7 linked regions of the Oryctolagus cuniculus genome follow. The protein of the gene in region 3 binds, or shares a complex with, the protein of the main gene of each other region. Links are inferred from orthologs where the notes say so. Each region holds a gene or a part of one and is shown on either strand. Other genes may lie near its edges.

What was found.
Region 1: the proteins of TUBGCP6 (region 3) and MZT1 are in contact, whole or in part, in a crystal structure (PDB 6M33), measured with the Homo sapiens proteins. The link is inferred for Oryctolagus cuniculus from reciprocal best matches to the Homo sapiens genes TUBGCP6 and MZT1. Residues at the interface, in NP_065194.3 of Homo sapiens: Met1, Ala2, Ile4, Leu7, Phe8, Asp10, Leu11, Cys12, Ala14, Leu15, Pro17, Ala33, Leu37, Val40, Ala41, Ala44, Leu45, Asn48, Ile70, Leu73, Lys85, Arg88, Leu89, Leu92, Val93, Glu95, Leu96, Leu104, Leu105, Ser109; in NP_001065243.1 of Homo sapiens: Asn17, Ala20, Val21, Thr24, Val27, Leu28, Glu30, Ile31, Ser32, Ile34, Leu35, Asn36, Thr37, Leu39, Glu42, Thr43, Leu44, Ile46, Cys47, Arg49, Leu50, Cys51, Glu52, Gln53, Ile55, Asn56, Pro57, Glu58, Ala59, Leu60.
Region 2: TUBGCP6 (region 3) and NME7 share a complex: the UniProt entries of both Homo sapiens proteins name them as parts of the gamma-tubulin ring complex. The link is inferred for Oryctolagus cuniculus from reciprocal best matches to the Homo sapiens genes TUBGCP6 and NME7.
Region 4: TUBGCP6 (region 3) and TUBG2 share a complex: the UniProt entries of both Homo sapiens proteins name them as parts of the gamma-tubulin ring complex. The link is inferred for Oryctolagus cuniculus from reciprocal best matches to the Homo sapiens genes TUBGCP6 and TUBG2.
Region 5: the proteins of TUBGCP6 (region 3) and TUBGCP3 are in contact, whole or in part, in a cryo-EM structure (PDB 6X0U), measured with the Homo sapiens proteins. The link is inferred for Oryctolagus cuniculus from reciprocal best matches to the Homo sapiens genes TUBGCP6 and TUBGCP3. Residues at the interface, in NP_065194.3 of Homo sapiens: Pro65, Arg67, Asn68, Leu71, Met72, Ser74, Phe75, Asp76, Arg78, Asp87, Glu90, Asp151; in NP_006313.1 of Homo sapiens: Pro9, Asn10, Val11, Leu13, Gln14, Glu25, Ala26, Ala29, Gln30, Phe32, Gln33, Val36, Arg37, Ile39, Gly40, Ser41, Phe43, Thr129.
Region 6: the proteins of TUBGCP6 (region 3) and TUBGCP4 are in contact, whole or in part, in a cryo-EM structure (PDB 7QJE), measured with the Homo sapiens proteins. The link is inferred for Oryctolagus cuniculus from reciprocal best matches to the Homo sapiens genes TUBGCP6 and TUBGCP4. Residues at the interface, in NP_065194.3 of Homo sapiens: Leu312, Thr313, Ala315, Gly316, Arg317, Ala319, Phe320, Phe323, Leu326, His327, Glu349, Pro390, Glu391, Ser392, Ser395, Leu396, Glu399, Tyr403, Ser455, Leu456, Leu457, Thr458, Gly460, Phe461, Lys464, Lys465, Arg468, Arg471, Tyr472, Glu475; in NP_001273343.1 of Homo sapiens: Met1, Ile2, His3, Glu4, Leu6, Leu7, Ser10, Gly11, Tyr12, Pro13, Gly14, Ser15, Ile16, Gln29, Phe31, Pro32, Phe33, Leu34, His35, Pro36, Glu38, Thr56, Ile59, Glu60, Thr63, Val66, Gln67, Gln68, Ile84, Arg87.
Region 7: the proteins of TUBGCP6 (region 3) and TUBGCP5 are in contact, whole or in part, in a cryo-EM structure (PDB 7QJE), measured with the Homo sapiens proteins. The link is inferred for Oryctolagus cuniculus from reciprocal best matches to the Homo sapiens genes TUBGCP6 and TUBGCP5. Residues at the interface, in NP_065194.3 of Homo sapiens: Glu290, Ala291, Ser292, Lys293, Arg294, Arg295, Cys296, Trp297, Glu298, Arg299, Val300, Gly301, Cys302, Pro303, Pro304, His306, Arg307, Glu308, Glu309, Pro310, Tyr311, Leu312, Glu314, Lys322, Arg325, Leu326; in NP_443135.3 of Homo sapiens: Asp211, Asp212, Arg213, Trp215, Leu216, His219, Val220, Val221, His222, Trp225, Ser230, Phe232, Pro233, His234, Leu238, His239, Ser240, Asn241, Leu242, Leu264, Val265, Thr266, Glu267, Thr268, Gln269, Arg272, Val302, Thr303, His304, Leu305.

Annotation. Positions count from the first base shown.
Region 1 is NC_091440.1:40,016,012-40,020,263, reverse strand, and holds the start of MZT1 (mitotic-spindle organizing protein 1), read right to left. Parts: upstream 2,801-4,252; 5' UTR 2,630-2,800; coding exon 2,551-2,629; intron 1-2,550. Other genes in the region: BORA (protein aurora borealis), read left to right, coding at 3,014-3,046, 3,913-4,080. UniProt on the Homo sapiens protein: Required for the recruitment and the assembly of the gamma-tubulin ring complex (gTuRC) at the centrosome.
Region 2 is NC_091438.1:29,352,254-29,356,315, forward strand, and holds the start of NME7 (nucleoside diphosphate kinase homolog 7), read left to right. Parts: upstream 1-1,262; 5' UTR 1,263-1,416; coding exon 1,417-1,419; intron 1,420-4,062. UniProt on the Homo sapiens protein: Possesses an intrinsic kinase activity. Displays 3'-5' exonuclease activity with a preference for single-stranded DNA. Does not seem to have nucleoside diphosphate kinase activity.
Region 3 is NC_091442.1:123,182,238-123,185,737, forward strand, and holds part of TUBGCP6 (gamma-tubulin complex component 6), read right to left. Parts: intron 2,972-3,500; coding exon 2,890-2,971; intron 2,804-2,889; coding exon 2,715-2,803; intron 2,646-2,714; coding exon 2,530-2,645; intron 1-2,529. UniProt on the Homo sapiens protein: Component of the gamma-tubulin ring complex (gTuRC) which mediates microtubule nucleation.
Region 4 is NC_091448.1:20,231,109-20,235,337, forward strand, and holds the start of TUBG2 (tubulin gamma-2 chain), read right to left. Parts: upstream 2,801-4,229; 5' UTR 2,605-2,800; coding exon 2,556-2,604; intron 2,295-2,555; coding exon 2,182-2,294; intron 1,980-2,181; coding exon 1,812-1,979; intron 1,506-1,811; coding exon 1,437-1,505; intron 1,064-1,436; coding exon 984-1,063; intron 627-983; coding exon 500-626; intron 1-499. UniProt on the Homo sapiens protein: Tubulin is the major constituent of microtubules, protein filaments consisting of alpha- and beta-tubulin heterodimers. Gamma-tubulin is a key component of the gamma-tubulin ring complex (gTuRC) which mediates microtubule nucleation.
Region 5 is NC_091440.1:1,197,272-1,200,771, reverse strand, and holds part of TUBGCP3 (gamma-tubulin complex component 3), read right to left. Parts: intron 2,807-3,500; coding exon 2,688-2,806; intron 1,800-2,687; coding exon 1,674-1,799; intron 157-1,673; coding exon 88-156; intron 1-87. UniProt on the Homo sapiens protein: Component of the gamma-tubulin ring complex (gTuRC) which mediates microtubule nucleation.
Region 6 is NC_091443.1:66,338,390-66,342,654, forward strand, and holds the start of TUBGCP4 (gamma-tubulin complex component 4), read left to right. Parts: upstream 1-1,465; coding exon 1,466-1,543; intron 1,544-4,265. Other genes in the region: ZSCAN29 (zinc finger and SCAN domain-containing protein 29), read right to left, coding at 1-71. UniProt on the Homo sapiens protein: Component of the gamma-tubulin ring complex (gTuRC) which mediates microtubule nucleation.
Region 7 is NC_091443.1:17,671,358-17,674,857, forward strand, and holds part of TUBGCP5 (gamma-tubulin complex component 5), read right to left. Parts: intron 2,576-3,500; coding exon 2,522-2,575; intron 2,415-2,521; coding exon 2,306-2,414; intron 1-2,305. UniProt on the Homo sapiens protein: Component of the gamma-tubulin ring complex (gTuRC) which mediates microtubule nucleation.

The sequences.
Region 1 (4,252 bases), on a different chromosome or scaffold from region 3:
AAGATCTTAGCAGGGCTGGTGTTTTGACACAGGTTAAGCTGCATTTTGCAAAGAAGGCTTCTCGTACTGGAGTTCTCCACTGCTCCCCGTTCACGTGCCAGGGAAAGCAGATGATGGCTCAAGTACTTGGGTCTCTGCCTCCCATACAGGAGACCCAGAGACCCAGATGGAATTCCCAGCTTATGGGCTTTGGCCTGGCCTGGTCCAGCCCTGCCATCTCTCTCTCTCTGACTTTCAAATAAAAAAATAAATGTTTTAACTATTTTTAAAAAAGAAATTGGGTGGGGTGGAGGGCAGCGCTGTGGCATAGCAGGTAAAACCGCTGCCTGCCGTGCCAGCATCCCATATTGGCACCAGTTCGAGTTCTGGCTGCTCTACTTTTGATCCAGTTCTCTACTGTGGCCTGGGAAAGCAGTACGCGATGGCCCAAGTCCTCGGGCCCCTGCACCTGTATGTGAGACCCGGAAGAAGCTTCTGGCTCCTGGCTTCAGATCAGCGCAGCTCTGGCCGCTGCGCCCAACTGGGGAATGAACCAGCAGATGGAAGACTTCTCTCTCTGCCTCTGCCTCTCCTCTCTCTGTATAACTCTGACTTTCAAATAAATAGATAAATCTTAAAAAAAAAAAAATTGAGGGAAGTCACTGGAAAATAATAAAATGGGGAATATACGAAGATCAGATCAGCATTTAAAAAAAACTGCCTGAATATGTAACGGGATTTGGAAAATGGCAGAGCACCTGAGGCAAGTAAGTCCAGTTATTATAATGTTGGTGAAAGACTAGTGATAGGAGAGATTAAGACAAGTGGTCAAATCTGAGATGAGTGAAAAATTGGAAAGACTTAATGAATAACTGGATTGGATTTACTCTGCTGACAGGGCCTTGCAGGGCAGGTCAAATGAGGTGAATACACTGTGAACTCTCCTAACCTCGGCTCTGTATGATGCATTCCTTAAATTCACTCTCTGATTAAGTATAAAGTAGTACTACACTGAAGCCTTTGGGATCCTACAGCAATATAAATAAGGAACTCAAGGACAGCTAACAGAGAAGACAGGCTGGACCCAAGGCCTCAGCCTCTCCATCCTGTTAAAAATGGAAATACTCCTGCAGGCACTGTGGCACAGGTTATCCCATATGGGTGCCGGCTCAAGTCCCGGCTGCTCCACTTTCGATCCAGCTCTCTGCTATGGCCTGGGAAAGCAGTACAAGATGGCCCAAGTCCTTGGGCCTCTGCACCTCCGTGGGAGACCTGGAAGAAGCTCCTGGCTCCTGGCTTCGGATTGGCGTTGGGGAGTGAACTATCGCATGGAAGACCTCTCTCTCTCTCTCTAACTCTGACTTTCAAATAAATAAATAAATCTTTAAAAAAAAAAGAAACACTGACTTCCAAGGAAACATACAGGATAATATTACTTATACAGAAATCCTCATGTACATAAATCTAAATTCATTTATAAAATTGGTATGCCATGACACATCAATGAGGATGGAAAAATAGGCTGGATGCCGTGTCATAAAAGAAAATTCTCAGAAAACCAGCAAAGTAGATACTGGATGAGTAAGAAATGAATGCAAAGTCTCCACTAGTGTTAGGTGAGTCTTTGAAGAGGAAAGCAGCAGCCAGTGCAAAAAGTCAGAAGCCTTCATCAGAAACTCTTACATGCAGGGACTGATAGATAGCAAGTGGGACTTCCGGTGAACAAAACATTGTAGGAAGCCTGACACTCCCTAGTGAGGATTCCACAGCGGTCTCTTTTTAACAGAGATGGAAAATACCGTGGCAGACTGCAAACAGGACCTAGGACTATTTAACAGCACTCAAATCCTCTCACGCAAGGAGGCTGCAACCGGGTTGACATCTAATCCCCCTCCCCCCAAATCGATCCTCGCTATGCCTTTATCTGCTTTGTCTTTAAATAATCACAGTAACCCTGCTTCCTGCATGCCCCGGGGAGGGAGGGAGGCGGAGTGGTGAGAACACGCTTAAAGATGTCGCAGCAGTTTGTCCAAACTCACTCCGAAGGGCCGACATTGGAGGGTACAGGGTGACTTGGTCTACCACCCACGTGGAGGCTTGGCCGCCACGTGCCTCGGGGTGCCCGCGACGACGCCCACCGCATCCGGACACGCGTCACCCGCTCCAACACGCAACAGGGGCGACTCTAATAACAGATATCTAAACAGCGCCTGTCCCTGCTGTGCCAGGGGCAGGGGCCACGGCGGTGGCCACGCACACGCGGCCCACGTCCGCACAGACTTCCATCCGAAGCGTTCCGCCGACACTGGACGCGCGCGGGAAGCGGAGTGGGCGCGGCGCGCGAGCAACGGACTGGCGTGCGGGGCCGGGACGCCGCGCGCGACCAACGACCCAGGAGCGGAGAGACAACTCTGCAGGGACAGGACCAGCAGCAGCCTTGCGGCCCCGGCGAATCGCTTTCCGGGATCTTCCAAGATGCCCGTCGGGGCGGGAAGGCGACCTCAAGTCCTCCCCGGGCTGTCCTCCGCCTGGGGGCCTCGGCCAGATAAAGAGGCCACAAGGGACACTCACCGTCCATGGTCTCCCTCACTGCGTTCAGATTCGCCGCCGCGGCCGCCCCCGCCGCCCCGGAGCCGCTACTGCTCGCCATGGCAGAGACCGAGGGAGGCAGCTGCGGGCCCGACCCGGAACTGGAGCGCCTTGCTTTTCTCCCGGGCAATCACACCGCGCGTCGCCCGCTCACGCCGGGCAGGCTCCGCCCCTCGCGCTCGCCGCCAGCGTGCGGCTGCGTGGATTTGAATTTGGAGCCTCGTTCCTCTGCGCGGAATGTGGGGAGCGAGGCGTTGCCATTCGAATTTACCTCGCGGCTTGGATGTGATTGGCTGGTTCGCGGACGGCGGTGCGACGCCATTGGCCAGTCGTCGTCAGGCCCCGTGCGCTGGTTGGCCTAAGACAGCGCGGAAGCGGGGAGTTAAAGAGTCTGCGGCTGTCGTGGGAGCTGGCCTGGTCCCCTCTTGGGAGCATCCTGGAGTTGATGTTGTGGAGGGATTCCTTTTCCCACGCGCCAGTGGGTAAGTTCTTTCCTCTGCTTCCCTCCTTTCTTGACTGGAGGGCTTGCTTTTCTCGGCTTCAGGCCTGCCTGCCCGCTCGCCCCGGGGTGGGGACGGGAGCAGCGAGGGAGTGGGGTCTTGCCCAGAGGGGTTGCGCAGACAGAGCGATCGCGTGGGCCCGGGGCCGTGACACGTCCTCCCCGCTGCTCACCCGAGGAAGCCGGCTGCACTTCGCCCTTGCAGAGGCGGGATGCTGGCTTTTCTGGAGATGGAGCCCTTTGAACTGGAAGCCGTGCGGCCTCGCTGTCTCTCTCGGGAGGGTCTTGGCGACGGGAGCGGGAGGTTTGCGGAGAGGCCCCCGTCAGTCGGACTTGGCTGGCCAAGGTCTCCTGTGCGAAGAAGGCGCCCGCGCGCTGGCTTCCTCATCTGCTCGCTGGCCCACAAAGCACTGGAGTTCGGCCCAGAGTGGCTGGAGTATCGGCCTGTGGCGAATCTTGAAGGAATGGATGAGAAGCTGTAGGCAGAAGGGAAGATATTTTTCCCTGCTGGAACGTTTAGTCGCCTCGAAGGCAGGCCTGAATTCATTCCTATTTGATTGACTGCTACTTAGAAGCCTCTTAACTTCTCTAAGCTTAATTCTGCTGCAGAATGGTGGCAGTCTGGCTTCCCGGGTTATTGGAGGAGCACTCTAGGAAATGTTTAAGTAATGCTTTTTTTGGGGTGGGGTGGGGAGGAGAGAGGGTAAGCTATAAGATAGCCCCAAGAGAGTTAGGTTTGGAGTTAATCCTTTCCATGAAATGTGATTGTTCAGTACATTTTGTCATAGTCGCTGTCTGTGAAACTGTATAGTTTTGATACGGATGTTTCTGATTTTGTTTTTTAGTTTTCGCTGCAGGCTATGGGAGAAGTCAAAGAATTAAAGATGCAAATATCACCAGAAACTCCAGGGAGGATCCCTGTTTTAAATCCTTTTGAAAGTCCTAGTGATTATTGTAATCTCCATGAGCAAACTCTCGCCAGTCCTTCTGTTTTTAAATCAGCAAAATTGCCAGTGAGTTATTCTTGGCTAATCTTTACTACTAATTTTAAGTGTTAACAGCTACAAATAATTGTAGATGTAAATATCTTTATAAGGTAAAGGGGGACTATATCACAGAATATATATATATATATATATAAATGGCTGCAGTGTGCAAAAATTTTGTTGGTGGCTTGAGAGGCAG
Region 2 (4,062 bases), on a different chromosome or scaffold from region 3:
TTTAATTCTTCTGGGAATAAAATTTAAGTGGTAGAGGCTGGCGCTGTGGACTGGGGCCTGCGGCGTCAGCATCCCATATGGGCACTGGTTCGAGTCCTAGCTGTTCCACTTCTGATCCAGCTCCCTGCTAGCGCGCCTGGAAGGCAGTGGACCCTGCACCCACGTGCGGGACCTAGAAGCATCTCCGGCTTTTGATGGCTCAGCTCATGCCGTTGAGGCTATCTGGGGAGCGAACTGGGGGATGGAAGATATTTCTCTCTCTAACTCTCTGTCACTAGGTCTGTCAAAAAAAAAAAAAAATTAAATGATGTTGCTTCTAACAACAGAGAGAAATACACATGGAACAGATACTTTCGGAAAGGTATGCACAACCTTAGAGTATACTCAGATTTACCGGAAAACATGCCAAGGAGGGTGGCACTCATGTGATGAACAGAACAGGTCACTCCCGGCTTCAAAAACGATCAGTGAGTCTAAGGCCTCCCAAGACAGGTTCCTCAACAGTCACAAACCCTCTTCCACTTATATTCCACGGCTCTAAAAACAGGCACCCGGCGTACCGAGTCCTGAAACCGCGCTTTGAAGACCGGCTGCGAAACGTACAGGAGCAGCCAGTCTGACGGCAAATACCCAGGATGCCCAGGAACCAAGGCTGCAGGCGTGGCTGTCCCGGGGATTCCAACGCCAAGTTTCGTTCCTGTCACAACAAGCCTCCCCGGTCCACTCTTTCTCTATACCCGACGCCACTGGCCACCGAGCTCCGACCGACGCGCGCGCCTCTCCAGCGTCACCTCGGAGTTACACAAGCCTATCGTCTAAGTTACCTCGGGATTCCTTTTCTATTTCGGCGGTTTCACGTTACAGGTTCCCGGATTCGCTCCTCGCCCATGCCGAAGCAGACCCGCCCAGGCCTTCCGGACAACCAGCCGCTGTGTCAGTCATGATCACTTCCGATTACCCAGGGTTTCACTTCCGGAATATTCTTCCCACAGAGGCGAGAACACACAGTCTGTGGTGCGTTTAAATTCAAGTAACGCAGACGATACAGCGTCTCGCCTCATCAATGGAAAGCTGGAGAGGGGTTTATTTCAAAATAAAATAGTGCGCTCTTTGGCGCCTAGCCGCGTGTTAACTTAAACTTCCGGGTCATCTGCCAACCAAACGGAAGTGAAAATGCTGGCAAGAGGCGGGAGGCGTCCTGTCGCCCCAGGAGACAGCGTGAAGGGGCGGATCTGTCAATGAGCTGGGCGTCACTGCGAGGACTCCCAGCCACTAGGGACGAAGGGGCTGACCGCTGACGTCTCCCGGGGTGTCCGGCAGGGGGCGGGGCCCTGTTGCCAGAGTAACCGGATGATGGTGTGGATGGCGGTGCCTTCCTGGGGCAACTCGGCTTCCTCGTGCTGAGATCCTGAAACTATGGTGAGTGCTAAGGCCGACCAGAAGAGCCGCTCCGGGTTCCTGGTTACGCAGCTTCGCAAGTGTTGGGTCGATGGGCCCTCGGAGGCGTCCGCAACCCTGTCTTCTCCCCATTCTCTCTCCCCCATTTGCCGTGGGCTGTCCCTGCATTCTCCCCATTCTGTTTCTTGCAGCGCCCTGAATTCCGCTCTAATATTACCGTAAGCCCTTAAAGTAAGGCAACAGAAAGTTTAGGGTTAAGACGCGGAGCCTCAGGTGAGATATTATTTCAAACCAGCCTCCTCTTTTGGGTATGCATTATTCATCAGTGCGTTTTTCAGGCTTGTGGACTTCACAGTAACGTTCCACCTAAAAGGCAGATGGTGGTGTGTAGGTGACTGTGGCAACACTGGCCCGAATCTCGCTAGGGCCTGGAGTCTGCCCCGCGGAGTGCCAGAGCACTGCCCCACACTCTGTAAAGGCCCCTTAATCATATTTGTAGAGTGGATCGGCTCGCTTGCATCCAGCTGACTACCTGCTATGTCCGTGCTGCTTAACAGGAATAACTTTCAGGATCACTTGAGAGCTTCTAGAATTCACTTGCTTGAGCTTCCCTCCTAAATTTTTGCATGAATAGGGATGAGGCTCCATGTTTCCATTTTCAATAAGCCTATAAGTGATTTTGCTGTCTTTCTGCCTGGTTTCTCCTGTTTTTCACCATGTTATTTAATGATACCACTGTATTATAACTGAAACTAGAAATCAGTGACATCCTACATTCCCCTTTCTCTGACATTTCCCATATTCAATTGGTCATTATTTTTGTTTAGAATTTCCTCATTTTTACGTTAGCTATTATATTCATTTCTTTTACAGTCTGGTCTGGCAATTTTCTAATCTATCGTTTTTTCTGCCACAAGGAAGAAGTTACTAAGTTCCCATCTGTTAATGCTACTCACCTCTTTGAAAGTCTAGACTTCCGTTTCCTACAGTAAAGTTTGGAATGGCACACAAGAGGCCCTCCACAAGCTAGCACTTACCTTTCTAGCTTCTTTCTTGGCTGTCCCTTTCCTGGATACTCCTTTTAGCCGTTTGCCTTTTAGCTACTTACTACTGAACATAGCAGACAACTTCAAACTGGCAGTATGTCTCTTCCCTCTGCTTGGCACATGGTACTGCTTCTGCCCTTTTCCCTTTTCTTGCATATGAAACTCCTATTGATCCTTCCAAGACTCAGCTTAAGTGTCTCTCTTTCTGTCATGGCTTTTCCTACACTCCACAAGAGGTAACTGTTTATTCTTTCTTGTCACCACTGTATATAGTACACATTTCTTTTATTGTAGATACCACCTTTACTTGAAATTATTTGTTTATAGCTTTGTCACCCTTCCTAAACTGTGAACTGTTAGAGGTATAGATGTTTACTATGTTCACTGCTATTGCTTAGAGCATATTTGGCACTCAAATGTTTGCTGAATGCATAAGAGAAGAGGAAAGAATGAGGTAAGTGGTCTGAACGAGAAGGAGATTGCAGGACAGAGTCCTCACTTCTCAGCTAGAGCATCGTTAAAGCCGTCATGTGGCAAATGGTAGAGAATATCAGTGCTTAGAATTCAATGACCTGTGCAGTGGCATAGGGAGCTGAAAAGTGACATTCATTAAATACTGTTTATTTTTCCTGTCTGCTACTTTTTGCTTTGTTTGCTGTTTTCACTCAGAGTTTCCGGCAATGCTAAGAGCAAACAGCAGTAAAGTGCTCTGCCTGCCTTCTTTGTTCCCATCCTGGCTGGGGTTTCATGGTTGGTGATTCTTTCAATTAGATGGTCAGTGAAGGCCCTTCTGAAGAAAGGACTTTTGGTATTGAGACCTAAATGATACAAAACGTGCTGATCTGGATCTTCAGGGTGCACTAACAAGATCACAGTTCCTGAGGCAGAAAGGGGCAAGCATAAATTTGAGCAACTTATGGTTTAATAGAGTACAAAAATAGAAACTGGGTTGTGAGGTGGTGCAGGGTTAGCTGCTTTGGGAGGTACATGGGGCAGAATAACATGAGATACAGTCTGTATGCAGATGCCAGACTGTCTGTTGTCTGTCTGTCTAGCTATATATCATCTACTTGGCGAGGCTTATGTTTCTCAAACTGTTGGAGGTGACCTATTATTCTGTCATGAAGTAGATTTGTGGTGTGTAGCCAGCATTAACAAAGAAGACTAACATAGAAACTTACCACATCTACTGCATGCCGTGAGGGTAGCTTTCATGAACTTTTGTTTTAAATTGTATATATTTTGTGAATGTACTGGGTTATGACATAAAACATATTACTGTGAGTCATGATCCACAAAGTTCAAGATACTATATACTTAGAGCAACATATACTTTAAAAGGCAAAGCAGTTAAAATCAGAAGCATACAGATTTGTCTTTTCATCTAATGACAGTGTTCTTAATGTGTGGCAAAGAAAGGAATTTAACAAGAGGCGAAAATTGGCTAGAGTGAAATGATCACATTTCTTTCTGTATCCAGCATCTCTCCTATGCTGTTGGATGTCAGTCCTTCATCAGGAAGGGTGGAGAGCAATCAACCGTGCTCCGTCTAGCCTCTGGTGTCTGTATGGCTGTGAAGATGGGGTCTCTCCATCAGCAACTGAGGATGGTGGCTGTC
Region 3 (3,500 bases):
TGCCGCTTCCCCAGGCCCCTGCCCTCCATCTGCTCCTGCCAGTGGCTGGGCAGGAGCCTTCCACCGAGCAGCACTGATGGACAAACTGCCCAGCCGGGACAGACACACGTCTGCTGCACAAACACCCGAGTGAGAATCCACACAGCCTGACACAGGGGCCGAGCAGGGAGTGGGGGCCCAGTCTCCTGGGAACGAGGCCTCACTCTCCAAGCTGTGGAGAAGGCCTTTTCTGTCCTGCAGGGGAAACTGCGGAGAGCCAAGCACTAACGCAGAAACACCCGCGGAGCCCACCCAGCCCAGGGCGTGGTCTGCCAGATTCAACCAACTGGGCTCTAGCCTGGCCTGGCCCCTCCAACACGGGAGCTGCAGGCCAGGTCTCCACGTGTAAAGAGGAGGATGTCCACTCCCACGCATGCAGCCGCACACACCCTCCCTGGCGCCACCACAAGACTAGGCCAGGGCATGCAGGGACCGGGCCTTCCACAAGGGGCTTCATGACAACATGGAGCCAGCCCCTCAAGGGTCCAGCTCTCCTCCCAGCTTAAGGACAAGCTGACACCACAGATGCCCACCTCTCTGCTGGACCAGATTTAAAATAAACAGGGGCCGGCCGGCGCCGTGGCTCACTAGGCTAATCCTCCGCCTAGCGGCACCGGCACACCAGGTTCTAGTCCCGGTCGGGGCGCCGGAGTCTGTCCCGGTTGCCCCTCTTCCAGTCCAGCTCTCTGCTGTGGCCCGGGAGTGCAGTGGAGGATGGCCCAAGTGCTTGGGCCCTGCACCCACACGGGAGACCAGGAGAAGCTCCTGGCTCCTGGCTTCAGATCAGCGCAGTACGCCAGCCACAGCGGCCATTGGAGCGTGAACCAAAGGTAAAGGAAGACCTTTCTCCCTGTCTCTCTCTCTCACTGTCCACTCTGCCTGTCAAAAAAATAAATAAATAAAATAAATAGGGGCCGTTGCCATGGTGTAGCAGGTAAAGCTGCTGCCTCAACACCTGACATCCCATATGGGCTTTGGTTCAACTCCCAGCTGCTCCACTTCTGATCCAGCTCCCTGCTAATGGCCTGGGAAAGCATGGAGGATGGTCCTAGTACTTGCTCCCCTCACCCATGTGGGAAACCCAGATGAAGCTCCTGGCACCTGGCTGGCCCAGTCCTGGCCCTTGCAGCCATCTGGGGAGTGAACCAGAAGGTAGAAGATTCTCTCTCCCTGTAACTCTTTCAAATAGATACATCTTTCAAAATAAACAGGAGTCGCTAAAGCTAGACAGAGTCAGGACACCAAATCCAGTGCATGGATGGTGCCAGATTCTAACTCATGAAAACCAGAGGGCCGGCGCTACGGCTCACTAGGCTAATCCTCCGCCTGCGGTGCTGGCACACCGGGTTCTAGTCCCGGTTGCGGCACCGGTTCTGTCCCAGTTGCTCCCCTTCCAGGCCAGCTCTCTGCTGTGGCCCGGGAAGGCAGTGGAGGATGGCCCAAGTGCTTGGGCCCTGCACCCCATGGGAGACCAGGAGGAAGCACCTGGCTCCTGGCTTCGGATCTGTGCAGCGTGCCGGCCATAACAGCCATTTGGGGGGGGTGGTGAACCAACAGAAGGAAGACCTTCCTCTCTGTCTCTGTCTATAACTCTGCCTGTCCAAAAAAAAAAAAAAAAAAAAGAAAGAAAAGAAAAGAAAACCAGAGATGACACAGGACAGCTGACGACATCCAGAAACAGCAGAGGCCATCACCCCCCGGTGACAGGCCAGGTGTTGTTCTGGGCTCAGTACACCCGTCTTTCTGGGGCAAGTTCTGCTGCCAGAAGCCCCACCGGGCCCCAGCTGCCCCACCTGGCCTCCCCATCCCACTTCAGCTGTCCCACCTGGCTTCCTCTCCCCCCCAGCCCCAGCTGCCCCACCTGGCTTCCTCTCCCCCCCAGCCCCAGCTGCCCCACCTTGCTTCCTCTCCCCCCCAGCCCCAGCTGCCCCACCTGGCCTTCCTCTCCCCCCCGCCCCAGCTGCCCCACCTGGCCTTCCTCTCCCCCCAGCCCCAGCTGCCCCACCTGGCCTTCCTCTCCCCCCCGCCCCAGCTGCCCCACCTGGCCTTCCTCTCCCCCCAGCCCCAGCTGCCCCACCTGGCCTTCCTCTCCCCCCAGCCCCAGCTGCCCCACCTGGCCTTCCTCTCCCCCCCCCCCCCGCCCCAGCTGCCCCACCTGGCCTTCCTCTCCCCCCCGCCCCAGCTGCCCCACCTGGCCTTCCTCTCCCCCCAGCCCCAGCTGCCCCACCTGGCTTCCTCTCCCCCCAGCCCCAGCTGCCCCACCTGGCCTTCCTCTCCCCCCCGCCCCAGCTGCCCCACCTGGCCTTCCTCTCCCCCCAGCCCCAGCTGCCCCACCTGGCCTTCCTCTCCCCCCCCCCCCCCCGCCCCAGCTGCCCCACCTGGCCTTCCTCTCCCCCCCAGCCCCAGCTGCCCCACCTGGCCTTCCTCTCCCCCCCAGCCCCAGCTGCCCCACCTGCCCCACCTGGCTTCCTCTCCCCCCACCAGCCCCACCTGGCCTTCCTCTCCCGCTCCTCCTCCAGGGCCTTCAGCCTCTTCTCCCGGTCGCGGAACTCACGGGCGAAGCTGAAATCGTCATCCAGCTCCTCCTGTCTCGCCGCGAGACGCCGCTGCGTGACACACAGCCGTTGGTTACCGAGGACTCCAGGGCCTGCACCCCTGGGGCTGGGCCTACCCACCTCCTGATCCTTCACAAACTGTTCTTTCAGCCGCTGAAACTGCTCTCGCTTCTGGGCGTCCACGGCCATCTGCTCCGACTTCTGCCGATCTGCGTCGGGGCGACGAGAGGCACAGGGTCTGCGGAGCGCCCAGCGGGGCCGGGACCCAGAGGGGAGGACTCGGGGCTGGGCTCACCACTCAGCGCGCTCAGGACCCGTGACGCTGCTTCCCGGGCGTGGACAATTAGTTCTTGCTTTGCAATTTCCATGCGTAATTCCTGGAAAAGGTCATCAGTGAGCAAAGCACCAACTTCTCCCCTCTTTACGTGGGACGGCCCGGGACACCCACCACCCCACACCGCGCACCCAGGCTGTGACAGGCTGGCGCCAGGCCACTGGTGGTGTGACCCGCCCTGAACGAGGACAAGGGGTCTTAGAGAAAGAAGCCTCTCAGGTCTGCCCCTGGCCAGGTCTCCCTGCTGCCCACCAGATGCCAGCCCCAGAGGGGGTCTCCCGCTCAACACCTGCTCGCTGAGTCCCCAGGGGACCCACAGCCCTGCTCCCAGGCGCAGCAGGGCCGCTCGTGCAGAGGCCACGCCAGCGCAGAGCCCTCGGCTGCAGGGCCCAGGGAAGAGCCGAGGCAGCCGTCCAGGTCAGCACAGGCTGGGGCACAGGTCAGGCCACCAGCCCCACAGGACAGGGCAAAGCCCCGGCCCAGCTCATTCTGACGCCTGTGGTGTCCTCACCCAGGAGCCACACCGGGCACCCCCACCCCCACCGCCACCGGGAGCCCAGGAGGCGGGGCAC
Region 4 (4,229 bases), on a different chromosome or scaffold from region 3:
GAGTCCCTCTGGACAGTGCAGGGCAGTAAACAAATCTGTGAGTGTCCTCTGTGCCACACTTTGTGCCTGGGTCTGGAGTGACCACAGAGTGAAAACGGGCACGGTCTTGCCCTCGCCAGGCCTCCAGCCTAGTTGAGGGAGGCTGACATTGAATACAGAACAGAAAAAAGACGCTGTTAACCTGAAATATGACAAAGGAAGCTGACCTTGACTGGGTAGGCAGCGAAGTTTCACTAAGACAGTGACCCCTGAGCTGGAGCTGAAACGTGAGCAGGCACTGAGTGGGCTGAGTGGCTTATGTGGTGGCAGGGGGAGGCAGTCCCTGTGCTGGGGGACTGGCTGCCTAAAGTCACATAAGCACCCTGGAGGTTGCGACCTTACTTCGCAGTCCGACCACGGGTCTGGCTTTGGTGGTTCTTTTTGTGCTGGGCAGGGCAGGGCAGGCTGGCTGTGACTCAGGGGGGTCCCACAGCCCTCGACTCCCTCTTCTTTTGCTCACCACGCAGTCTGCGTTCTGAGTCAGCCGCTTGAGCGTGAGGAGCGAGTTGTAGGGCTGGACCACCACGTCGCTCATCTCGTCCTGGTTGGGAAACACTGAGTAGGTCTGCACCAGCTTCTTGGGGTACCTGAGGGTGAAGAAGAAGGAAAGGGGGAGGGTGGCACAGAGAAGCAACAGGACTTACCGGACTGCTCACTCTGTCTTCTGTGGGGACAATGGGCACCACGATTTTCGTGTGCCACCAAGCTCTTGTACAGTAGCAGGGTAAGGGCGGGACTCAGTCTTCAGAATGAACAGGATAAGCTGCAAGCATCAAACTCTAGATCTCCCCTGTCCCCAGGTGCCCCCCCCCCCAGGTGTTGGTTGCTGCCAAGGTTACCTGGGTGGGTCTGTCTCTAGGACTCAAAAGCAGTAGGGGCAGGCCTTCCCGCTCAGAAGGAAAAGGGGACCCGGGCTAATGCCCTCCTAACAAACACCGGCCTACCTGTCATTCAGCCGTTCCAGGAGGTAGGAGCCCATGCCAGAGCCGGTCCCCCCGGCAATGGAGTGACACAGCACGAAGCCCTGTGTGGGAGTGAAGGACAGGCAGTGACCAGGGACCTGGGCAGGGGGAGGGGGAGGCTGCCAGCTTGTCTCATTCCCCACCCACTCGCAACACACTCGTGCCTCAAGGCTTCCTCTGTGTCCGTCCAGGCCGAGGCTCCTTGGGAAGACTCAGGGCTTGGGGACAGGCTGAGGGATTCACACCCTCCAGGCTACGGCTTCCCTGAGAACAAGGACTGCACCTTATCTACCTCAAGATCCCAAACCAGATGCTCAACAAATGGGCCTGGAATTGGACTGCCACCATCCCAGGGCCTGCTCGGGCCACCGCCTGACCCCCAACACGCCGCAGCCCCTCTCCGCTGCACCCCACGGGAGCTGGGGAGAAGCTCACCTCAAGACTGTCGCTTCCGTCCGCTTCCCGGTCTATGATGTCGAAGATGTCCTCGTGGATCTTCTCACCCTGGACAGAGACATGGCAGAGAGTCAGGTCCAAGGTTCTCTGTTCAGCAACAAGAATTCCACAAGGGAGGGCGGCGGGGGAGGGCTTTGTGACCCCCCTGAAGCAGAGCTTCAGCTCTTGCCCTCAACGCAGAAATGATACTTTGTGACTTGTACAAAATTTGCATAAAGCTCTCCCTGGCTGTCCCTTTGTCAAAGCATCCCTTTATCTCTTACGTATCAGAAATCTGTTCTGGTCAAATTCCCAGGTTGCCTGAGCCTGCCTTGCCCCAGGGTGGGACTATCCAAGGGTCCCCGGCTTGGACACCTGGGAGAATCCCCTGGCCCAGTTGTTGCCAGCTCCTCCTCCGTGCTCAGCCAGGTAGATGTTCTCCGGGTTGTAGAGCTTGGCGTAGGGAGAGTTGAGGATGGAGTGGATCACCCGGGGCTCCAGGTCCAGCAGCACGGCCCGCGGGATGTAGTGCTCATCATCGGCCTGCCAGCGAGAGGCCGGGAAGGGGCGGCCCCGTCAGCCGGCGCCACCGCCGGCCCAGGCCCCAGTCCAGTCCCACTCGGGCTCCTGCCGGGCCTCCCTCCCCGAGCCAGCCGCGGGGCCCTGTGCCCAGCGGGCTCCCCAGCACCAGCCCCTGCCCCGTCCCTTCAGGCCCCCGGGGTCCTGGCCCAGCCGCCGGGGGCACCTGGTAGAAAAAGACGTCCTTGCGGTCCGTGCCCTCGGTGGCGAACTCCTCCACGATGCCCTCGGGGCTGATACCATGCTCGGCGCACAGCTGTTTCCAGAACTCGAAACCAACTGGGGAGAGGGGAGACGCCCGGGTCTGCGAGAGCCGAAAGGCCTGGGCAGCTCAGCGTCAGGCTCTGAGGCTGCCACTCTCGGAGCGTGCGCCCAGGACGCCGGCTCTGGGAGCCGTCACAGCCCAGGGCCTGCGTGGTCATGCGCAGTAGGGCAGGGGGTTCACGAGAGGGAGAGGGGACCCGGTGGGAACCAAGCACTCCCGTGGACCCCGAAGGGGCAGAACGAGAGAGTGGCGGGGCCCGGAGCTCGCTTGCTCACTCTGGTTGCCGCACTGGCCCAGCTGCAGGGTGATGATCTCCCGGGGCATCGCTCTGCGGACACGGGCCCGGCGGGAGTCACGGCCGAGACGAACGCCCGGCAGCCGGGCGCGCAGGACGTGGGCAGCGCGCGCTCCCCTCGCCTCTCGACGCGAGCGCTCGGTCTGCGCGTGTGCAGTGCGGGCGTCTGCTCCGCCGGCGGGCCGCGGAGCCCAACCTGGGCATCATTTTCCCCCATGGCAGGCGCAGCTGGAATTCGGCACAGGCGCAGAGCGAGGCCACGCCCCCGCCTGCCCACCTCTCCGCGCCTGCGCCCTGAGACTGGCGGGGGCTCGCAGGGTCGCGACCTTAGGCTGCGGGCAGGTGGGGAGAGGACGGCTGGGTGCACTAGGTAGTCCGGGTGTAGGTCCTGATGCCCTAAGGACTGTCAGCTCCGCTGGGGCCTGGGCTGGATCCAAGGCAACTTTCTTCCTTTAAATTTCTATTTTTCTAAAATTGTTTGACATACTCGTGCACAGCATAAAATCCATCATTTCAACAGTTAACAGACATTAAGTATACTCGCATTGTTCTGTACCCATCAGCACCCTCCATTTTCAGAGCATTTTCTCTTTCCCAAACTGAAACCTTACCCATTAAACAGCAACTTCCCGTCTTCGGCGCAGACCCTGGAAGTCACCATTCTTTCTCTATTAAAGCTGAATAATATTCCGTGGCATAGATACACCACATTTGTTTATCCACTCAAACCTCGGCGGACACTTGTTCCACCTTTTGGCCATTTTGAATAGTGCCCCTTTGGACGCGGGTGTACAGATATCTATTTAACTCCTTGCTTGCATACCCGGAAGTAGGATTGCTGATAACTGTGTCTAATTGAGGAATCGCCATACTCTTTTCCACAGCAGCTGCACAAGATTACGTTCCCACTGGCAGTGCTGAGGGGTTCCAGTGTTATCTCCAGCAACACTTGTTCCTCGCTAGCTTTTGATCATAGCCTGGGTGTGAAGTGGTATCTCTGAGGCTCTGTTTTACTCTAAATTACCGGAAAGGTGACATAGACAACATAATTTTATATTTTTACCATCTATTTTTGTGTTTTGAAATTTATATAAATGATACCAAAGTATAATATCAGAGAAAAGCAGCTTGCTTTTTTCACCTTACATTAGGGCTTTTTGTGATGTAGCCGTGTTAATATGGGTAGATTTAGTTCATCCCTTTTAACTGCTGTATTGTATTTCAGTGGACAAACAAAAGCAGTTTATTCTACTTCCAAACGAGTGGGGTTAGATTGTTCTCAATTAGTGGAAGGCCAGATGGGAAAGGGTGATTAACCGATACTAAGTTATAGTTAGACAGGAGAAAGGCATTCTGGTGTTGAATTGGCCTGTGGGGTGACTATGGATGACAGTAAAGTATTGTTTGCTTTCTTAAAAAGCTAGAACCCTCAAGAGCTGATAAATGTTTGCAGAGACAGATATGTTTTCTGTGGTTTGAACATCACACCATGTACGCGTTTGGAGATGTCACATAGTACTCCATACAATGCACAGTTTTGATGTTTTTTAAAGATTGTTCTCAATAACCCCCCACCACAGGGGCACAGGAGCTGCCTGCCTACGAACAGGAAGCGCCAAGTCTCTGTGGAGGCTTGCACAGCTTGGGGCTTATT
Region 5 (3,500 bases), on a different chromosome or scaffold from region 3:
TGTATGCAGCAATTTATAATATTCTATAATAGCTTCACTTTTTAACCTTTCAAATCACGGAGAAATCAAAATAACAACAAAGTTTACCTGGGAGTGTAAAACAGAGAGCAACCGGTAGTACTCTTTGAGTTCCTGGTGCAGGGCGGCACAGAAGCTCTGCGGGGAAAGGGAAAAGAACAATGCGGCGAGACGCACTCCTGCACACCGCCCCGTGCTGGTGCCAAGGCGACGCCTTCAGACAGTCCTGGTGACGTGCAGCGGCACTAAATTCTGGCCCCTCAACGGCCCCCACGTGCTGACCACAGCCTGGATCCCGCCAAGCTTCAGCCCAGGTTTCTTAAGTAGCACTCGGAGCAAACCACGGCACAGCACCCTGTCTTACCGAAGCCCAACCCCAGCCCCCAGGGCAGAGACACAGTCGCACAACTCCCACCAGCACCCCGACGGGTACTTGTAGGCAGAGCTGTTCTGTGATTCCTCTGTGACTTTTCGGAGAATTAGAATGGCAATGGTCACTGCCCAAGAATCAAGCTGTGCCCACAACTATGCACCACCTAACAATTAAAAAGGGACTGGGGAGAGGGAGCCGGCACTGTGGCACAGTGGGTTAAGCCTGTATCAGGAGACAAGGGCACCCCGTGAGTGCTGATTCAAGTCCCAGCTGCTTCACTTCTGACCCACTTTCCTGCTAATGCTCCTGGGAAGGCAGAAGATGAGATGGCCCAAGTATTAGGCTCAGACCGCCACCTGGGAGACCTGGATGGAGTTCTCGGCTCCTGACTTCAGATTGCCCAGCTCCGGCCACTGCGGCCATCTGAGGAGTGAACCAGCAGATGGAAGATCTCTTTCTCTGTCTCTCCCTCTCTCTGTAACTCTGCCTCTCAAATAAATTATCTTTTCTTAAAAGGGACAGGGGGAGGAGGGCGTTACTGCAGAGAGCAGCTGTTTGGCCTGGCAGCTAAGACGCCTGGCCCCACATCAGGGCCCTGTGTGCCAGTCACAGCCCCAGCTCAACTCCAGCTTCTTGCTACTGCAGACCCTGGGAGGTAACGGTGACAGCTCAAGTGGTGGCTCCTACTGCCCAGGCTGGAGGCCTGCACTGAGCTCCTAGCTGTGGCCCTAGCCCAGTCCCAGCTACTGCAGGCATTGGAGGGATCTGTCTGTCTCTCTAGTAAATACAAAAAATTGGGAAAATAAAAATCTAATACCACTTCTTTATGTCCACCACTTCCTAACACCAGGCAGGAGGAGGGAGAAGGAATAGCACACCAGCCCCAACAACTTGCTTGTCCATCAGCGATGGCAGCAGCAGGGCTGGCCAATGCAGCGGCAGATGCCCTGCTCACAGACCTGTGTCCCAGCAGGGCCACTCCTCCACCTGCCTGAAGCAGGAGAGCAGCGAGCAGGTCCCCCACGCTCTGGGGCCTGACGGCTCCACTCTCGCCGGCTCCCAAGTGACCACATGCTCCAGGCTGTCTCCTTTCACTGCTCAACCCATCTGCTGCATTCAGCAGGCTCTGCCAACACCGCAGTAGCTTCTGTCTTCCAGAGTGGATCCTGATGATACAATTCTCAAAACCGCTCTCTTTACAAAGAGCCCGCTTCAGAGTTATTTTCACAGAGATTTAAGGTGGATCCAGCACTCCCCAGTATTTTAGAGACAGTGGACGCACCTGACCTACAAGTCCGAAGGAGCGGTCCAGACTCCTGTGGTCAGTGTACTTCCTGATTTTATTATGCAGCCACCCCAGCTCCGCGAGTCGCACTGCCGTGTCCCTCAAAGATTTACTCAGGTTTGCCTAAAAGTAAATATATTCAGAGTTAAAAACTGAAGACCAATACCAGAATTTTAATTTCATTTTTCAACCACGTGTACTTTAATATGAAACTTCTTGGGCTGCCCCACATGGACGTTAACAATAACTAATCCACCATCAACAAAAGAAAAGGCATCGGGGTGGGCATCAGCCTGGCAGTTACCCCTGCAGTGCCTGGGCTCCACTCCTGGTCCAGCTCCTGACTCCAGCTTCCTGCCCATGTAGACCCTGAGAGGCTCAAGGCTTTAGGTCTCTGCCACCCACAGAGGAAGGACAGATTGAGCTTGCAAATCCTGCCTTAGGTCTGACCCAGCCCCAGCTGGTGTAGGCATTTGGGGAGTAAACCAGAGGATGGAAGTGTTCTGTATGTCTGTCTCCCTGCCTCTCAAGTAAGTTACAGAAAACAAAACGCATCAAGTGACAGCGCCTTGACAGGAATGCTAAGCTGTGTCACATCCATCTGTGTAGCGCTGCTGGGCCTGGGCCTGGTCCTCAGTGAGACAGAGGCTGTGACAGTCGCTCTGTGAAGGGCTGGGGCCAAGGGTGCCACGGGAAAGGCAGGTTCCGGAAGAGGAAAGGATCAAGCAAAGACCCCTGAGCTGCACCTGTCCCTCAAGGCCGTGACCTCTGCTGCAGAATGCGGGTATAGGGCTCCATGGGCAGCTGCATAGTGAATATGAGAGGAAGCAGGCACTGCCCAGAGGGCCCAGTAACAGAATCACACCAGCCACAAACTGGACAGGGACGCATAAACCACACGTTGGCAGTGCACTTACGCAGTACAAACCCTGATACCTGATAGTCTAACAGCTCACTAACTGCACTTAATGATCCTTTTGAATATTTTAAACTAGATTTATGTCACGGTACCTTTCCTTCCACTTTGTAACAGTTTTCAGTGTTGCTCATTTTGATATTTTTGCCATCTATGCCCTGGAAGACGTACAAAATATCTCTCACGAGAGCTGCTTCGGTAACTTCCGATGTCCCTGCAAAACGAAGAATAGTTACTAATAAACACATTTTAAGATGAAATGAATGCTATTAGATGCTATATTTCCAGAAGGCCGAAGTCTACCAACTCGTAAATGAGGTCAGGCCGGGAAGAGCAAGGACAGGAAGAAAGACGCCCGTTCTGCCAGGGTGGGGGGTTGAGGTGGTGCAACTCCCCAGGAGAAGTTCTCTCGCGATGGGGCTGCCTGTGAGAACCCAACACATGGGAGGTCTTCAAAAAGGTCACGGGAAATGTGTGTTATGAAAAACGCACATGGATTTCAGATTGTTTCACTACCAAAATAAACTAACTTTTTTTAGATTTATTTATTTGAATGGCAGAGTGACAGAGACCCTCCTTCTGCTGGTCCCCTCCCCAAGTGGCCACAACAGCCAGGACTGGACTACAGAGGCTGATGTGATACAAGCCTAACATTCCTTTCGAGGTGTTTTAAATCCCTGCTGTCACTTGATGTACTTTATCTTCTGGTTTTCTGTAACTTACTTGAGAGGCACAGAGAGACGGACAGACAGACAGAACACTTCCATCCTCTGGTTCACTCCCCAAATGCCTACACCAGCCAGGGCTGGCTCAGACCGAAGGCAGGGTCTGGAAGCTCCCTCAAGGCCTCCCCCGTGGCTGCAGGGGCCCAAGCACTTGGGCTGTCCTCTGCTGCTCTCGGGCAGTGA
Region 6 (4,265 bases), on a different chromosome or scaffold from region 3:
AACCTCCTGAAGCGCTGCCGAAAGGTCTCCGAGTTAGTGCCATTCCCTCTCAGGGCGGGGTTGGCCATCATTCCAGCAGAAAGCAGCGGCCCTCCGCTCAGGGCGTGGGTTCCAGGGCTTACTCCTATCTTCCCATGTCCTTGGAGAATCACCTGCAGATAAGTCTCTGTCTGTGAGAGGAGTCTCTTTCTAGGGTAGAGAGAGAGAGGACACTATCAGAAGGAATATATTCATACGTCTAAAGCCTTGTTAGAGCTGGCCTGACTTCCTACATGCTCCAAGTAGCCGCGTGAGGCAGCGCCTTCAGGGCGATAAGCCAACACGGAGCATGAAGGAGAAAGACCTTTCAAAAGCTGTGTTTCTGGACAGCCCCAGGAAGCAGAAAACAGCACTGCCTTGCTCCTTTCCCACCTCCCCCAGATCTGCTCCCATTTCATTCTCCTGATCAGTGTTGCACAGTGAGTGCCAGCCATATGGGAAGCCAGGATCTAAAAGCAAGTCACACGGCTGAAGGCAACAACAAGCCTCTCTGTCCAGCGGGTAGCAGCTGATCTCCCCCAGTGCCTCCGCCCCGCCCCTCTCACTCCGCAACTACCAGTGCCCACCACCGACAAAAGCCGAGTCGGGAATATCGGGTCTTTGTTTTCCCTTCCCAGCAAGGGGTCGGGGGCTACTGACGGGAAACCGCGTGCATCGGGAGCAGCTGCTGTGGGTGGCTCCTGAAGCAGGCACCGGGTGGGCCTGGGGAGCGTCTCACTGAGTTGGTGAGGAGCGGGGGTCCGAGGGGCAGCAGGAATGGGTCTCCTGAGGACGAGCTCGGTGCTGACTAGGGGCTCCAAGTGCGGCGGACTCGCGGGCGCTGAACTCCGCTCAAGGATCAGCGGGTGTGCGGCTCCGGCCTCTTTGTCTTCGCTCCCTCCGGCCGGGTCACTCCCGGAGTCGTCCTGCAGTTCCTCCTGAGGCCTCTGATAGGGTCAAGGCGCCCTGAGAGCACCCTCCGGTCCACATCTAGGAGCGTCTGTCTCTGGGACTGTCTCTCTAGTCACTCGCATAACTGACCCCCGCTCAGCCTCTCCCACTCCGGGATCAGCCCCAGCCAGGACTCTCACACCACCCAGACCAGCTCCCAAACCGGAAGTCCGAGCGGGCAACTCGGGGGCGCCGAAGGCGCATGCGCCGGGAGCGCTGCGCAGACCGCAAGTCGGCAGCAGCGCGGCTGGAGCTGGCGCGAGCTAAGCGGAGGGCCGCGCGGAGCCCGGCGCACTTCCGGGACCCGGCGCGCGGTCACTTTCGCCGCCTAGCCTCCTCTCCTCCCGCAGCCGTGGTCCGGGCGGGTGCAGTCGGAACGAGCCGCCGGAGCTAAGGGCGTGCGTGCATGTGGAAGGAGGTCCTCGCCCCCGTGTTCTCCTGAGAGGACGCTGGAGGAGAGGGTCACGTCCCCAGAGACTCGAAGTCCGCCGTGGGCATGATCCACGAGCTGCTCTTGGCTCTGAGCGGGTACCCGGGCTCCATTTTCACCTGGAACAAGCGGAGTGGCCTGCAGGTACTGTGCGGCTGAGAGCGCGGGAACGAGGGAGCAGACTCGGCTGACCTGAGCCACTGAGGGACCCGGAGGGCGGGACCTGCGGGGGCTGGGGCCGCATAGAGGGCAGCCCCCCACGGCCTAAGGGTGAGGGAAATGCTAGCATGAGAAACCGAGGACAGACCCCCCCAACAGCCCTGCCTTGCCGCGGGGTGTGGGGACAGGGCGTAAGGTGGCGGTGTCTGAATGACAGGTACAGGGGGCCTGGTTATAAGTGAGGAAGGCACTTAATCCTGTTCACTTTCACTCCAGCATTCTGAGCTTTGCATTCTGGTTCAGAAACACAGCGCCCAGCAAACTTGACTGAATGGAAAAAGAGATTTCAAGAGCGTGTGGAGCGTTTCCCTCCTGACTCTTTTCCCAAAATATACCTGCACCAGGTGGAGAACTTGCTTGGGGGTCTTCGTGTTACCAGGAATGAGAGATGTATGAGGAGGAAGAGTCATGTGATATCCATAGATAGTTAGGGCGTAGGTGAGCTCCTTTAATCCACACGACCACTTGTACCCATTTTACAGATTAATTGGGGCACAGATCCGTAAATATTCCCCTGTGTCACATACCTAATAATTATCTTAGTTGTTTTTTTTTTTTTTTTTAGATTGATTTATTTGAGAGGTAGAGTTACAGACAGTGAGAGGGAGAGACTGAGAGAAAGTCACTCCCCAAATGGCTGCAACGGCCGGAGCTGCGCCAGTCCGAATCCAGGAGCCAGGAGCTTCTTCCAGGTCTCCCCCGCAGGTGCAGGAGCCCTAGCACTTGGGCCATCTTCCACTGCTTTTCTAGACCATAGCAGGAAGTTGGATCGGAAGTGGAGCAGCCGGGACTCGAACCGGCGGCCACATGGGATGCCGATACGGCCAGTGGAGGCTTAGCCCAGTATGCCACAGCGCCAGCTGTGTTGGTAACTTTAAGGAATTGTTTGCTGTTCCTGCTCCAGTAATGTTACCCATAATTTTTTTTAAAATTTTCTAAAACTATGTCAACAGGAAATCTTATTGGCAGAGCTATCTTGATGATAAGAATTGCTTGTATGTTTTGAGCACCCAAGGTCTCCCACATGGGTGCATGGGCCTAAGCACTTGGGCCATTCTCTGCTGCTTTCCCAAGCACATTTTTCCCAAGCATATTTCTCCAGTATGGGATGCCAGCATCGCACTCAGTGGTGCACCCTGCCACACCACACTGCTGGCCCTGGCGCATGTGCTTCATGTGTATTCTTCTTTTTTTTTTTTTAAATTAAACATTTATTTATCTTGAAGAGTGACAGAGAGGGAGAGACAGAGCAAGAGATCCTCCATCCGTTGGGTCACTCCCCAAAATACCACAGGACACCAGGGCTGGGCCAGGCTGAAGTCCGGAGCTTGGAACTTCATCTGGGTCTCCTACAAGGTTAGCAAGGGCCCAAGTACCTAGACCATTTTCCACTGTTTTCCCAGGCACATTAACAATTCAATACTCACAATTATTGCCTCTGTAAGAATCAAAACTGAGCACAGAGAGGTACATTAACTTGGCTTAGCTATGAGGCAAGTAGGAGGCAACTCACAGATTCAGACTGAAGTAGTCTTATTCCAGGGATCAAGTTCTTAAGCACTGTTATACCACTTCATAAACTATTGGCTTGAAGATATAATTAGTATTATGTCATTAAGATCTACATTAAATGAATTCCTAATTAGGTTATTGTGGACTCAGTAACAAAAATTGTCCTTTGCCTATTTATGACCACATTTATGGGCATATAAAGATGGCATCAGGGGCCAGCACTGTGGCGTAGCGGGTAAAGCTGCTGCCTACAGTGTCCACATCCCATATGGGTGCCAGTTCTAATCCTGGGTGCTGCACTTCCAATCCAGCTCTCTGCTACGGTCTGGGAAAGCAGTGGAAGATGGCCCAAGTCCTTGGGCCCCTACACCCACATGGGATACCCGGAGGAAGCTCCTGGCTTCGGATCAGCGCATTTCCGGGCGTTGCGGCAAATTAGGGAGTGAGCCAGCAGATGGAAGACTTTCTCTCTCTCTCCTCTCTCTCTCTCTCCTTCTCTCTCTCTGCCTTTCCTTCTCTCTCTATGTAACTCTGACTTCCAAATAAATAAATAAAATTTAAAAAAAAGATGGCATCAACCAAAGACAATAGTTACAATGTGAATATGTGATGTGTTATAAGTTGCTTTGGAATGGTAGCTTTATCTGATTTTGTGTACTTTTTAAATCTCAGAATGTTAGCACAGTACTTGGGGTATAGTAGGTGTTCATTAAAAGTTGATTGATTTGGGGCTGGCACTGTGGCAGAGCAGGTAAAGCTGCCACCTGCAGTGCCAGCATCCTATATGGGCACGGGTTCTAGTCCAGGCTGCTTCACTTCCAATCCAGCTCTCTGCTATGGCCTGGGAAAACAGTAGAAGGTGTCCCAAGTGCTTGGACCCTGGCACCCATGTAGGAGACCCAGAAGACACTCCAGGCTCTGGCTTCAGATAGGCCCAGCTCTGGCCACTGTGGCCATTTGAGGAATGAACCAACGGATGGAAGACCGACTCTCACTCTGTCTATATCTGTCTGTCTGTCTATCCATCCATCCATCTCTGCCTCTCTGGGCCTATCTGCTGATTTTCCCAGGCCATTAGCAGGGAACTGGATCAGAACTGAAGCAGCCAGGGCTAACACTGTGGCGCAGTGTGTTA
Region 7 (3,500 bases), on a different chromosome or scaffold from region 3:
TTTTTTTTGACAGTCAGTGTGGACAGTGAGAGAGAGAGAGACAGAGAGAAAGGTCTTCCTTTTCTGCTGGTTCACCCTCCAATGGCCACTGCTACCGGCGTACCGCGCTGATCCGAAGGCAGGAGCCAGGTGCTTCTCCTGGTTTCCCATGCGGGTGCAGGGCCCAAGCACTTGGGCCATCCTCCACTGCACTCCCAGGACACAGCAGAGAGCTGGCCTGGAAGAGGAGCAACCGGGGCAGAATCCGGTGCCCCGACCAGGACTAGAACCCAGGGTGCCAGCCACAGGTGGAGGATTAGCCTATTGAGCCGCGGCGCCGGCCAAGCAAAATAATTGTATCTTGGGGATCTCAAAAGAAAACAGAGACTATAGGGGCCAGCGCTGTGGCATAATGGGTAAAGCCGCCATCTGCAGTGCTGGCATCCCATATGAGCGCCAGTTTGAGTCCTGGCTGCTCCACTTCCAGTCCATCTCTTTGCTATGTCTTGGGAAAGCAGTGGAAGATGGCCTAAGTGCTTGGGCCCCTGCACCAGCATGGGAGACCTGGAAGAAGCTTCTGGCTCCTGGCTTCAGCTCGGTGCAGTTCCAGCCGTTGCAGCTTACTGGGGAGTGAAGCAGTCGATGGAAGACCTCTCTCTGTCTCTCCTCTCTCTGTGTAACTCTTACTTTCAAATAAATAAATAAATCTTAAACAAAAATCACTTTTCTGATAAGGAAACTGGTAACTCAGTAAGATAAGCCAATTTAAAAATGAGTAAACGACTTGAGTGGATACTAAGAAAACAAACGAATGGCCAAAAACATATACATGAAAAGAGGCTCTCGTTTTGGTTTAGTGGGTAAAAGCTGCCACCTGTGATACTGGCATCCCATATGGGCACTGGTTCACATCCTGGCTGCTATAGTTCTGATCTAGCTCCCTCTTAATGGCCTGGGAAATGCAGAAGAAGATGGCCAAAGTGGCTCCACGAGGGAGACTGAGATGAAACCAGGCTCTTGCATTAGTGCTGGCCATTGCGGCTATCTGAGGCACGAGCCAGCAAATGAAGATCTTTCTCTGTTTTTCTCTCTCTGTAACTCTTTCAAAATAAATGAAGTAAATCTTCAAAAAAAAAAAAAAAAAAAAAAAAAGATGAAGAGGTGCTCAATATCATGAGGTGTTAGAGAAAGGTAAACTCTAACACAGTGAGATATTACTGCATACCCTTTAGGATGTCTTCAATCAAAAGGACAGACAATAATAAGAGCTGACCAGGATATGGAGAGAGTAGAACCCTTATACTTTGCTAGTAGAAATATAAGCCTCTTTGGGAAACAATTTAGCAGCTTCTTAAAAGGCTAAGTGAAATACACAGTACCCACTAAGACAGTACTTGAGTTTAACAAAGGGTGAGAGTCCCCAGTCAGGAGAAAGAAGAGCAGCAAGGCAGGTAAGGTACAGGATGTGTCACAGCAGAGGAGGGGACGTGGTCCCATTGTGTCCAGGGTGCCCATAGTGGAGAGAACACAGAAAAATGGTTGGAGATGCTAATGAAAGGCCAAAATGGGAATTAGAGGTAGGCTCTGCCTGCCTATGTGGCTGATCCTCTGCCCCCCCCAAAAACCTCTGGGTACCAATTTTCAAATCCTGTCACACACTATTACAAGAGAATTAAGTGCACTCCTTTTGTGTCTCCCCACGGCGAGGGACATTGGAAGCTCCTGCCCGGTTTCTCCCAGCCTTTGCTCCACGCACCTTTGCCCACGTGGATCACATCTGCACCCTTCCACTGTAACAAGCACTAACAGTGAAGATGACAGCTTAAGTCTGTGAATCCTTCTAGTGAGTCACTGTGCCCACGGGTGGTTTTGGTGACGCATGACATGGTATGAAAGTGCACCTGATACGTAACAAGCACAGGCAGTTATCACCACGTGCTCGGACTGTAACAAGTGTAGGCAGTTATTGTTACCAAGTGCTGGGAAGTCATTTGGAAGTTTTAAGGTATCCAGCCTGTGCTACTATTTGAGCCAATCTCTGGTGTCTAGTTCCATAGCAGGTTTGGGGTTAGGCAATGGAGATGAGAACATGCTCTTCCTTTCATCCCAAGCTGAGGCACACCTGGTTGATGGCAATGTTAAAGTCAGTTTTCAGGAGATCCTGTTTTAGCCACTTGACAATACTAAAATTGAATAAACATAATACGTATCCTTATTATGTTATATTAGTTAATATATACCCTTGTTATATTAGCAGAAATAAGCTGACAATAATCAGATTGGAAATAGTAAAATACCCAACAGAGATCTTGTAAGTGAACCATACCTTTGTTTCGTTTACGTTGGGAAGTGATGAATTTAGAAATTCCTCAGTTAATCTCTTCCAGCTAGCAGCCTTGCTGAGATCAGAATGAATTATGAATTTCTCATGAATTCTGAAATATTTAAAACATCAACTGTTATAGAGCTATATTAACAGAAAGGTGCATAAAAATACATATATTTCTGAATGTGCACATATTTACATGAAAACCCAACTTACCCTTCTATTGTCTTTTCTATTTTGTGGCTATTGACATCCAAAAAACGATGAAACCTAACAAAAATAAAATGCAATGTTTTGGTCAGTTCTGTCACCTGGCTAAGTAGCCCTGCCTCACAGCTCTGAATATCCGTCCATAGACCCTATACTTAAACATTTCCAGGGTGCACCTCTCCCCCTTACCTCCACCATCAGACAGGCAAACAGCCCCTGTGTTCTGAGAAAGCATCCTTGCCCTGTCTGCTAGCTCCTGTGTCTTCCAACAAGGCCCTAAGTTCAGCACAGCCTATCTACATCAGGTGCTCCTAATCTTTGTTACGATTGAAGGGCCCCTGAATGATGCTTTGAAATGCAAAAATACAAAGAAAACGGAAATAAAGCCGTCAAGTAATTTTAAATATTGGTGATGGAGTTAAGAGATACATTTCTTTATTAAACATTTAAATATAGCATCTAGCAGTGGGCCTAAGGATAAGGACTGCCATTAAAGTCAGAGTAAACAATGTTCAGTAATACCTGCACAACAACTCTAATATGACATGTGGTTTTTACTGCTGACAAATCATAGGTAGGCTAACATTGCTGTGGTTTGTTGCTTTCATTCATAATTGATGAAAATGCTACTTTTCAGTTAGTGGATGGTGTAAAAATTTTTTCTCAACCAAATTCACAAGCCCCTGAATGCCAGCTTTGGACCCTCAGGTTAGAACCCTATTCTGCATCCTCCTGCAACTGACTTTGGTGTTCCTCCTTCTTAAGGACAGAGGACAGCTCTTACTTGTCTTCGAATTTTCAAGGCCTAAAATGTGGCCACAATTTTCAAAAATGTAACCATGAATCATTCATTTTTCTGATGAATTAAAGTATAACATTATAGCATAGCTCTCTCAACTTTTCCAGCTTTTTTATTTTTTATACTTATTTATTTATTTTTTTGACAGGCAGAGTTAGACAGTGAGAGAGAGAGAGGGACAGAGAG